Saccharomyces cerevisiae S288C: one gene and its partner. The gene in region 1 interacts genetically with each later gene. Each region holds a gene or a part of one and is shown on either strand. Other genes may lie near its edges. The genes, in order: PIB2 and SEC31.

What was found.
Region 2: of PIB2 (region 1) and SEC31, a mutation in one rescues a mutant of the other (synthetic rescue), as found in Saccharomyces cerevisiae (one study listed by BioGRID).

The regions. Positions count from the first base shown.
Region 1 is NC_001139.9:449,697-454,019, reverse strand, and holds PIB2 (Pib2p), read left to right. Parts: upstream 1-1,915; coding exon 1,916-3,823; downstream 3,824-4,323. Other genes in the region: dolichyl-diphosphooligosaccharide--protein glycosyltransferase subunit STT3, read right to left, coding at 1-1,616; PGD1 (Pgd1p), read left to right, coding at 4,063-4,323. UniProt on the Saccharomyces cerevisiae protein: Functions as an intracellular glutamine sensor that directly activates the TORC1 signaling pathway, to promote cell growth when glutamine is available. May play a role in repressing NPR1 activity independently of TORC1 signaling.
Region 2 is NC_001136.10:105,374-113,793, forward strand, and holds SEC31 (Sec31p), read left to right. Parts: upstream 1-1,834; coding exon 1,835-5,656; downstream 5,657-8,420. Other genes in the region: ASF2 (Asf2p), read right to left, coding at 1-1,121; SNF3 (glucose sensor), read left to right, coding at 6,207-8,420. UniProt on the Saccharomyces cerevisiae protein: Component of the coat protein complex II (COPII) which promotes the formation of transport vesicles from the endoplasmic reticulum (ER).

The DNA of each region.
Region 1 (4,323 bases):
TTCCACGTGTTGTTATCGACTAAAGTGGTTCTGTCTGCCATGCCACCAATTTGGTAACCGTAATCCCACCACGCTGCAACCTTACTGTCCTCATCAGAGTTCATTCTTAACCAATAGTACGCTTCCCTGAAGTCGTCGATCAACGCCAATTTACCATCTGGGGTTTGTGATGGCAAAACAACAGAAGGAGAAGAGTATGCAGTTCTTGTTACCCAAGTAGAATGGAAGACGAAAAGATACAAATAAAAGATGAATGATCCGGAAACAATCAATTTGGCCAGTAGTGCCGCAGGTTTGATGGCGTATTTGCGGTCACTTGTCTTGAAATCCAGGTAGATGTCAAATATCTTGGACAATGCGACGGCGGCGGACACACAGATGACTGGTGTCAAAGTCAACATCAATCTAACCATAACACCGGCAAAGTACGAACACAGAACGGAGTAAGCGATGACAAAAACGTGCTCGTCTTTCAAGTCGAGGAATAGTAGGAATACACCGGCGGGGAATAGCCAGATCAAAAAGTGGGTATCAAAGAAGAAAGCGGGCCACGAAACGGGTTGATGTTCGGAAACGGAGGCAATGATAGGAATGTGGATCTTTGCGTAGTTGGTATCCCATAACGAATAAAATCTACCAGTCCAAGGGGCAATCAACCCCATATAGGTCAAGGCAGAAAGTCCGACCACACCAAGGACCAAGATCAAAAACAGAGAAACCATCATGATGACTTTAAACTTAGCTGTGCTGATTTGGCCCTTCACGAAGTCACCGAAGGCGACAATCTGAATCAAACCGAAAACACCCAATGCGGCCATGTGGTCGTTAGACCTGATAGGTAGGAAACCGACAAATGGGATCTGCATGGATGCAACAGTTCCAATAGCGTACCAAGTGGTGTAGGCAGAATACAGTTTGGACGAATATCTGCCCATCAAAATCAGCAAAAAGACATGGAGTGGGATCAAGTTGGTGATGAACACGTATCCACCCCAAGCCGACACCATGTAGAAGTAGAATAAAGCTGCACACGTTGCGTGCATGATAGAGCCAGTCTTTTGGGCCTTAATCCAAAACATGAAAGTGACCATTAATAGTGTAATGGCAATGGCCTCATTATCGTAGGACCCCGCCACTGATCTAGATATATAACCGGGGACAATGGCTATAAAACCAGCAGCCAAAAGCCCAGCGCTGGCATCTTTAATCTCTTTCGTAAATTCGTAAGTCGCCCAGGCGGTGACCCCAGAAAATAGTGGCGCAAATAGCACACAAACGTTTCTGATGTCAATGGGCAAGCCCAACCAGTTGCGCAGGGCGTGCCAGATGAACGCACTAGTCGTCATCAAACCAGGATATAAAGTCCCTCCAGTAACCCTTCCGAGGGGGTACCAGGTACGGTCGTCAAACCAGTTCAAAAACTTGTAAAACGAATTGTTGACGAGATATTTGGTAGCCCTATAATTGAACCAGGGGTCGAATTCATGGATAATAGACTCAAATTTGATGACTGCAAACAAACGTGATGATATGGCAGCCCCAAAAATCGCCACGAAGATGACGAGCTTGAGGATGGTCTGAAACACAGACAAAACACACGACCGGTCGGATCCCATGGCAGCTGTGATAATGACGAATGGTAGTTAGGATTTACGGCTGTGAATGCGATTGCGGATGCTATGTCACGTTGAATTAGACCGTGCTTTTGCTGCTTTTCTTTCTTTCAGACTTGCTCTTTTGTTCGTGTCTTATTTTGTCAATTCTCGACCAGCGCGAAAAAGCAACCGTCGATGGTGACCATTTAGCAGAGGCGAAGAGAAGTAAAAGAAAGCTTATGATATGACTATTGAGACCTGGAATAGGTACGAAGCGCCAGTGAGGAGGACTGGGCAGCACAGTTGTAGTGGAGACCAGAATGACTGCGTTGCATAGTGTGTCCAAAACGCCCGCGATCAAGGAAGAGGAGGAGGACGGTGATGAGCGAGACGGCAGAGGAGTTCCCCTGGGACCAAGGAACCATGACTACCGTGGCAGGAAAGGTGATGAGGAAAGCGGTGCTGACACCGTGACATCTCCCATCACGTTTGAAAAGAAGAAGATAGCGCCCAGGGCGTCAACGCATTCCGAACAGAGTATTTTGAGCAGCATCTCATTGAAATCGATGGTAAATCAACATCGTCAGCAGCAGTTGCAGCAAGAGAGCTCAACAGGGGCAGGCACTGGGTTTGTTGACAGAAAGCAGCAGATCCAATCTCCGGCGATGGTGTCCATATTGAGGAAGAACTCTGCTGAGGAGAATGTTCGCAGCAGCCACAGTAGCAAGCTCGGTGAAGGGCAGATAGATGGTAGGAAGGCTTCTGCTAGTAAGGAGATCGGCAAGACGTTGCCATTCACGGATGACCAAAGATCGAACCCTGAACTAGATCCCACCAATAGCGTGGTGGATGTTAGCAGGGGCAAGAATACAAAGAGCAAAACTGTGTTCAATGAGTTAGAAGATGATGCCGATGACGATGACGAGGTTCGACAAAAGAATCTAACCACGCAGGCGTTACGCAAGTTGTCGTCGTTCAAAATGAATGCTAGTTCTAATTTGAGGTTGAGTAAAGAAAACAAGGCGAAAGAGTCTTCATCTTCGTCCACGTCTTCAGTGTCGTCATCGTCGACGTCGAAGGTGGAAAATATTGTCGACAAGCTGACTACAACGAATTCTAGCTCGATGTCCCAACTGCGGTTTGGCAACACGAACGTCATTATTGATTCGGTGAATCATGCGGCGAAACCGCCGCATCAGCAGATGCTAAGGAAACCCTCGCTGGAATTTTTACCGCAGCCTGCTTCGAGCACTAATCTGAATTTTAATTCCAATAAACATAAATCAAATGTAAGACAGATCAGTAACCCTAAAAAACCGCTATACATCCCCGCCGTGCTGAGGAAAGTTTCAGAGACAAACATAACTAATGACGATCTGTTGAATGCAACATTGTCGTCTTACTACAAGAAGGCATCTAACCTGGAACATGGCTTTAATCCAAGCAAGTCGCAATCCGCTAGCGTTCAGAATGCGAACAACCTACGGATCATATCTTCTCAATCCAGCGTACAATCCAACACATCGTCAATCTTGGAAAGCTACAAAAACAAAATATCCTCGTACTTGTTCCCGAATTCTATTCCGAACAGCGACAGAATCAACTTAATACCAACTATTTCAAACAGAAACTCTGCCAGAGTAAACCCGCCCACTAAGGACCACTGGATTCCGGACAGTAAGAGGAATTCTTGTCGTTACTGCCATAAGCCTTTTACCCTGTGGGAAAGGAAACATCATTGCAGGCATTGCGGGGACATCTTTTGTCAAGACCATTTGCGCCATTGGCTGTACCTGGACTCGCAGGCAAATTTTATAATGATCAACGAACTAAACAACGGTGGCATAAATGGCGGTGGCACTCTCTGTAAAATATGCGATGACTGTCTGGTCGAGTACGAGAACCTTTCAACCACGAACCATAACGCAAACACGAACGAGGATAACATAAACGTTGAGGAGGGCGAAGATGACGATAATGACAATAGGAAGAAATTACGCAATTACTACAAGAATAGGCAGATGAACGCTCTTTTCAGACCAAAGAAGGGCGGTTCGTCCCAAGAGCATGCCACGGTTGATCGAGACACAACAACGCCCATCCAGGTGAAGTCGAACGACGAAGAAGCAGATAATGAGAATACGGGGGGAGAACAAGAAGAAGGTAATGATGTTTTGGGCAGTGTTATCGGCTCTGTGCCTGCAAACTGGAATTGGAGTAGTTTCTGATGAACATTTTTTGCGAGACAAGCGAAGAGAGGATGTACACTATTGATGTATGACCATTATGTATACAATAAACTTAATATAATATGATATAATATAATATAATATATAACACTAACACTTTCCTGAGGATTTTCGGTATGGCGCCGAGCGAAATTTTAAAGAGAACAACAGAAACAGTCACCAAGACTTCTTCAATTAGGCAGCGCAAAACGGACACAACAGCAGTAAAGACAACCGGAATGGACTCGATTATACCGGCAGGCGTCAAGCTAGATGATTTACAAGTGATATTGGCTAAGAACGAGAATGAAACCAGGGACAAAGTGTGTAAGCAGATCAACGAAGCACGCGATGAAATTCTGCCGTTGCGATTGCAGTTCAATGAATTCATACAGATAATGGCAAACATAGACCAAGAAGGATCCAAGCAGGCTGACCGTATGGCCAAATACCTACATATCAGAGACAAGATTTTGCAACTGAACGATAGATTCCAGACT
Region 2 (8,420 bases), on another chromosome or scaffold:
TGTTTGCGCTGGGCTGGTGGTAGCCGTTGAATTAATGATTGCACGTAACTCTGCAGTAGCTTGATGGTATTATTTTTTCTTTCTAAATGCAAGTGGGTAGTTCGGCTCCTCTCATCGGCCATTTTCTTATGCAACCTTAGATCTTGCAATTCCTGTTCCTGGATAGCGAACAAATCCTCTGGATTGTTTTCCTCAAAGGGGTCCACCAAAGTCACATTGGTGGGGATTTGTACTTGATTTTGTGTTTCTGTTTCTATTTGCCCCTTTGTTTCTGATTGTTGCGATAGTTCTGCTTGTAATGCTTCGATAGTCTCCCTCTGGTTAGCGATGCTTTTCTTGTAGGATAACATCGTGAGATTGGCTTTGTCGACCAGCTCAGGAATACATTTAAGATAGTCATCCTTTGCTTTAGCCTGCTTCTTCAAGTGCTCCAGTGATTTGGTTGCTTGTAGCAGTTGCATTTTCAAGTTATTCACTTTGATTTCGGAATTTTTTCTCACGTTATTCAGTTCTCGCCTCACTTTGGCCAGCTCTTTTGAGCTTTCTGCATCAAACACCTTGCTGTCTAAACTTAGTTCTAGTCCTTCGTAGTATTTTTCATGGAACGTGTGAATCTCATCTAACTTGGTGTTCACCGTGTTCTGGACGTTTTTGTAGTCCTGTAACTTGGCGCAGATTTCCTTCTTGAGATTAACAAGCAAAGTGTATTCATCGTAGTTGCGTTCTTCTTTGCTAGAGGGAAGTCGAACAAGTTCGATTCTCTTTTCAGCAGAGCTCTTGTGCGTTTCCTTTAACGCGTTGTTCTCATCCAGGATACTTTTCATTTTTCCATGTAAACTAGCCATCTTAATTTCATAGCCTATGATCTCGCCGGACAATAACTTGGCGCTAGACACTAAAGCGGCTTCATTTTCTCGGTAATGATTCACTAAAGATTGAAGCTCCTTGACTTTGCTTTTCATCTGCCTTAAAGATGACTTCTTTTGTACTCTTGAGCTGCTGAGGCCCTTCGTCACAGCCGCATATTCCTTGTCCGAGTTGAAAGATGAGCTCGACTCCTGATCACTACCATCTATCACACTGCGAGTGATGGCATCCAAGACACCACGATTTTTTGGCATAAGCACTCAGTCTTGGCCTTTTTCCCTCCTTTCTCCACTGATCGAAGCTGTGTGCAAAAATCGTCCCCGGTGTTTATTTATTTGTCCTATGGATAGATATGTTACTCACGCGTCGCGTCGCTCCTAAAGACATGAAAAGCGCTTTTACATCTTTGCTAATACTAGCATCGCAGAAGATCTTCTCCATTGCTATGCAACATACCTGCCTTGGTAGTTGGTTTCATAATTTACAATATACAAAGTTATATGCCCTCCGAGTCAAGGAAAAGATTGTCTTCCAAAAAAGGTGCAACTGTGCGTTTAGAATTGGTGGAGAATTATGTGATATGCTTCTTCACCGTCCTCTGCTTCTGCCTAATACCACACTCATCAATTGACTGGAGATCTGGCCTATCTTGCTACTACTTCATAGATTTTTTTTTTTTTCATCTATCCCCTTCCATCCCCTTCTGGTTCTACCCCTTCAGCGTGAAAAATCACCATACACGATCAATCCGCCCGAGAACGAAAAGTGAAAAGAACAAACAAGTCGTGTCAGATCCATTCCTCTATTCCTGTAGTCGGGTTGCATTCTGAATTTACACGTCACGAACCAGCACTATTTCGCTACTGTAGGTGTAGAACATTAGGACAAGGCAAGCTTCTGCGATAGACACTTTACTCACACATATTTCCCTTTGTTCCCGTTTGCTCTCCCTAATTGAACAATAAAGATGGTCAAACTTGCTGAGTTTTCTCGAACAGCCACGTTTGCGTGGTCACATGATAAAATTCCATTATTGGTCTCTGGTACCGTATCTGGTACGGTGGATGCTAATTTCTCCACTGATTCATCTCTAGAATTGTGGTCATTGTTGGCTGCTGATTCGGAGAAGCCTATTGCTTCCTTGCAAGTGGATTCCAAATTCAATGATTTGGATTGGTCTCATAATAACAAGATTATTGCTGGTGCTCTGGATAACGGTAGTTTGGAATTGTACTCCACCAATGAAGCAAACAACGCTATCAACTCCATGGCCAGATTTAGCAACCATTCTTCCTCTGTGAAGACGGTAAAGTTTAACGCAAAGCAAGACAACGTTCTTGCTTCGGGTGGTAACAACGGTGAAATTTTTATTTGGGACATGAATAAATGCACTGAATCGCCCTCCAATTATACTCCATTGACACCGGGTCAATCGATGTCGTCCGTTGACGAGGTCATTTCCCTAGCATGGAACCAATCTTTGGCCCATGTTTTTGCATCTGCCGGGTCGTCTAATTTCGCATCTATTTGGGATTTGAAGGCTAAGAAGGAAGTCATTCATCTAAGTTACACTTCACCTAATTCAGGTATCAAGCAACAGCTGTCCGTTGTTGAATGGCACCCAAAAAACTCCACAAGAGTGGCAACGGCTACTGGTAGCGATAATGATCCATCTATCCTGATCTGGGATTTAAGAAACGCCAACACACCATTGCAGACTTTAAATCAAGGCCATCAAAAGGGTATTTTGTCATTAGATTGGTGTCATCAGGACGAACATCTATTATTGTCCAGTGGTAGAGATAATACCGTTCTTCTATGGAACCCTGAGTCAGCCGAACAACTGTCCCAATTCCCAGCTCGTGGAAACTGGTGTTTTAAGACCAAATTTGCACCAGAGGCTCCAGACCTATTTGCTTGTGCCTCCTTTGATAACAAAATTGAGGTACAGACTTTGCAAAATCTCACAAACACTTTGGATGAGCAAGAAACCGAAACTAAGCAGCAAGAATCTGAAACAGATTTTTGGAATAATGTTTCCCGAGAGGAATCAAAAGAGAAGCCAACTGTTTTCCATTTACAAGCCCCAACTTGGTATGGGGAACCATCTCCCGCAGCTCATTGGGCTTTCGGTGGTAAATTGGTTCAAATTACTCCAGATGGTAAAGGTGTATCTATAACAAACCCAAAAATTTCAGGCTTAGAATCAAACACTACTTTGAGTGAAGCGTTGAAAACTAAGGATTTCAAACCATTAATAAATCAAAGACTGGTCAAAGTTATTGATGACGTTAATGAAGAAGATTGGAATTTATTGGAAAAGTTATCAATGGACGGTACTGAGGAGTTCTTGAAAGAGGCTCTTGCATTCGACAACGATGAATCAGATGCACAAGACGATGCCAACAATGAGAAAGAAGACGATGGGGAAGAATTCTTTCAACAAATTGAAACCAATTTCCAACCCGAGGGCGATTTCTCCTTGTCTGGTAATATCGAACAAACTATTTCCAAGAACTTGGTTTCTGGCAACATTAAGAGCGCTGTGAAAAATTCTCTAGAGAATGACTTACTAATGGAGGCCATGGTGATCGCATTAGATTCAAATAACGAAAGATTAAAGGAAAGTGTCAAGAATGCCTATTTTGCGAAGTATGGATCTAAATCATCGCTCTCGAGGATACTATACTCCATTTCTAAGAGGGAAGTAGATGATTTGGTTGAAAATTTGGATGTCTCTCAGTGGAAGTTTATCTCTAAAGCAATTCAAAACTTATATCCAAATGATATCGCCCAGAGGAATGAAATGTTGATTAAATTGGGAGACAGGTTAAAGGAAAATGGTCATAGACAAGATTCTTTGACTTTGTACTTGGCTGCCGGATCATTAGATAAGGTGGCTTCAATTTGGTTATCAGAATTTCCAGATTTGGAGGATAAATTGAAGAAAGATAATAAGACAATTTATGAAGCTCATTCCGAATGTCTAACTGAGTTCATTGAAAGATTCACCGTATTTTCCAACTTCATTAATGGAAGCTCTACCATTAATAATGAGCAATTAATTGCCAAATTTTTGGAATTTATCAACTTAACTACTTCCACAGGAAATTTCGAACTAGCCACTGAATTCTTAAATAGTTTACCAAGTGACAATGAAGAGGTTAAAACAGAAAAGGCACGTGTCTTGATTGCTTCCGGCAAATCATTACCGGCACAAAATCCTGCGACAGCGACGACCAGCAAAGCCAAGTATACAAACGCCAAGACAAATAAGAACGTTCCTGTACTACCAACTCCTGGAATGCCTTCTACTACTTCTATTCCTAGTATGCAGGCACCATTTTATGGTATGACACCAGGCGCCTCTGCAAATGCTCTACCTCCAAAGCCGTACGTTCCAGCAACCACCACTAGTGCTCCTGTTCATACAGAAGGTAAATATGCGCCACCAAGCCAACCTTCGATGGCGTCACCTTTTGTTAACAAAACAAATAGCTCGACCAGATTGAATTCTTTTGCTCCTCCGCCTAACCCATATGCCACTGCAACAGTTCCTGCAACGAACGTATCTACAACGTCGATTCCGCAAAACACTTTTGCTCCTATACAACCTGGTATGCCTATTATGGGCGACTATAATGCTCAATCTAGCTCTATTCCTTCACAACCTCCAATTAATGCTGTATCGGGTCAAACGCCACATCTCAACCGTAAAGCCAATGATGGTTGGAATGATTTGCCTTTGAAGGTCAAAGAAAAACCATCTCGTGCCAAGGCTGTATCTGTTGCCCCTCCAAATATCCTATCGACACCAACTCCATTAAATGGTATCCCTGCAAATGCTGCTAGTACCATGCCTCCGCCACCTCTTTCCAGAGCTCCCTCTTCTGTGTCAATGGTATCACCACCTCCTCTACACAAAAATTCTAGAGTCCCATCCTTGGTTGCAACTTCTGAGTCACCAAGGGCATCCATATCAAATCCATACGCTCCTCCTCAATCATCACAACAATTCCCAATAGGTACTATTTCTACAGCAAACCAAACGTCAAACACCGCTCAGGTAGCTTCATCGAACCCCTATGCTCCACCACCACAACAAAGAGTAGCAACCCCATTATCTGGAGGCGTGCCTCCAGCTCCGTTGCCAAAGGCCTCTAATCCATATGCTCCAACTGCAACCACTCAACCCAACGGTTCCTCCTATCCTCCAACCGGTCCGTATACTAATAACCATACCATGACCTCTCCTCCTCCCGTTTTTAACAAACCTCCCACTGGCCCCCCTCCGATTAGCATGAAGAAGAGAAGCAACAAGTTAGCTAGTATAGAACAAAACCCATCTCAAGGTGCTACTTATCCTCCAACCCTTTCCAGCTCGGCCTCTCCATTGCAGCCTTCTCAACCGCCAACTTTGGCTTCTCAGGTTAATACCTCCGCTGAGAATGTCAGTCATGAAATTCCAGCTGATCAACAACCCATTGTCGACTTCTTGAAAGAAGAACTGGCTCGCGTAACACCATTGACCCCAAAGGAGTACTCCAAACAATTAAAGGATTGTGATAAACGATTAAAGATTCTTTTCTACCATTTGGAAAAGCAGGATTTATTAACCCAACCAACAATCGATTGTTTACATGACCTCGTCGCATTAATGAAGGAAAAGAAATACAAAGAAGCTATGGTCATCCATGCTAATATCGCTACAAACCATGCTCAAGAGGGTGGTAACTGGCTGACAGGAGTGAAGAGGTTGATTGGCATAGCTGAAGCGACTTTGAATTAATTCAGTCTCAAAACTTTCAGTACAAAAAGTGGCGTATTGGCCTTGTTTTTTTCTTATTATGTCTTATAGTATTATATTTATATATTTATGTACTTATCCTTTTATGTTTAAACCTAATCAAGATCACAATTAGAACTAGCTTAACATTACTTCTCAAAACCAACCAATACCTCTTATATCTTTTTTACAGCCTTTCCCTTATGTTTTTACCATGTACACCTCGAGCGGCAAATCTCCGGGGAAATTTTAAACTTGCCGCATCGCACATTCTAAAGAACAAAAGGAGGAGGAACTGTCAATTATTCTATAATCTGGGGAAATTCAGTCATACTGAGAAAAACTAGACAATAGTCCTATCCTCGGCAAATTGCATTGATAGTACTTACACATCGAGAGATCATAGGACAGATAAGAAGCATTTTATTGAAGAAAAACAGAGAGAGTCACTATAAGTTGACCTCACTATAGAAATTAAAACAGAAAAGTTTTACTGAGGACCTTTTTAAACAGAAGGATATGCCTTTGTTGGCATAGAAAGAAGAATTTATAAATGGATCCTAATAGTAACAGTTCTAGCGAAACATTACGCCAAGAGAAACAGGGTTTCCTAGACAAAGCTCTTCAGAGGGTGAAGGGCATAGCACTGCGACGAAACAATAGTAACAAAGATCATACAACAGATGATACGACAGGTAGCATACGAACCCCTACGAGCTTGCAGCGGCAAAATTCTGACAGGCAATCTAATATGACATCCGTGTTTACGGATGACATTTCTACCATAGACGACAACTCAATTTTATTTTCAGAGCCTCCTCAGAAACAATCTATGATGATGTCTATATGCGTAGGTGTTTTTGTTGCAGTTGGCGGATTTTTATTTGGTTATGATACAGGTCTGATCAACAGTATTACATCTATGAACTATGTGAAGTCACACGTAGCACCTAATCACGATTCATTTACCGCCCAACAAATGTCCATTTTGGTGTCATTTTTGTCATTGGGAACTTTTTTTGGGGCTTTAACTGCACCATTTATATCTGATTCGTATGGCAGGAAGCCTACTATCATTTTCAGTACAATTTTCATCTTCTCTATCGGAAATTCTTTACAGGTAGGTGCTGGAGGAATCACATTATTGATTGTGGGAAGGGTCATTTCAGGTATCGGTATAGGCGCAATTTCAGCGGTTGTTCCATTATACCAAGCAGAAGCTACACATAAATCATTAAGAGGTGCTATTATTTCTACTTACCAATGGGCCATTACCTGGGGCTTGCTCGTGTCAAGTGCAGTGTCGCAAGGGACACACGCAAGAAACGACGCATCTTCGTATCGGATTCCCATAGGGTTGCAATATGTCTGGTCGTCATTTCTCGCTATCGGGATGTTCTTTCTCCCTGAGAGTCCACGCTATTACGTTTTGAAAGACAAGCTAGATGAAGCAGCTAAATCTTTATCGTTTTTAAGAGGTGTACCAGTCCATGATTCTGGGTTACTGGAAGAACTAGTTGAAATAAAGGCAACATATGATTACGAGGCATCTTTTGGTTCTTCGAACTTCATTGATTGTTTTATTTCAAGTAAAAGTAGACCAAAGCAAACTCTAAGGATGTTTACGGGAATTGCCCTTCAAGCATTTCAACAATTTTCAGGTATCAACTTTATATTTTACTACGGTGTCAATTTCTTCAATAAGACAGGAGTCAGTAATAGTTATCTGGTTTCATTTATAACCTATGCTGTTAATGTTGTCTTTAATGTTCCTGGTTTGTTTTTTGTGGAATTTTTTGGTAGACGTAAGGTGCTGGTTGTTGGGGGTGTTATCATGACTATAGCCAACTTTATTGTGGCCATTGTTGGGTGTTCCTTAAAGACTGTAGCGGCCGCAAAAGTTATGATAGCATTTATATGTCTATTCATAGCTGCCTTTTCTGCTACATGGGGTGGTGTTGTTTGGGTTATTTCAGCAGAACTGTACCCATTGGGTGTGAGATCTAAATGTACGGCTATATGCGCTGCTGCTAACTGGCTTGTAAACTTTATTTGTGCTTTAATTACCCCTTATATTGTAGATACTGGGTCGCATACATCATCATTAGGTGCAAAAATATTCTTCATTTGGGGCTCCTTAAATGCGATGGGGGTGATAGTTGTTTACTTGACCGTTTATGAAACGAAGGGTTTGACATTAGAAGAGATTGATGAATTATATATTAAGTCATCCACTGGTGTCGTGTCACCAAAATTTAATAAAGATATTAGGGAACGCGCACTTAAATTCCAATACGATCCTTTGCAAAGATTAGAAGACGGAAAGAACACTTTTGTTGCTAAAAGAAATAATTTTGACGATGAAACACCAAGAAATGATTTTCGAAATACGATATCGGGCGAAATAGATCATAGTCCCAATCAAAAAGAAGTTCATTCTATCCCAGAACGTGTTGATATTCCTACTAGTACAGAAATTCTTGAAAGCCCGAACAAAAGTAGTGGTATGACAGTCCCTGTGTCACCTTCTCTGCAAGACGTTCCAATCCCGCAAACAACAGAGCCTGCTGAAATTCGAACCAAATATGTGGACCTAGGAAATGGGCTTGGTCTTAATACGTATAATAGAGGGCCTCCCTCACTCTCAAGCGACTCAAGCGAAGATTACACAGAAGATGAAATAGGCGGGCCCTCATCTCAAGGCGACCAAAGTAATAGAAGTACTATGAATGATATTAATGATTATATGGCACGTCTCATTCACAGT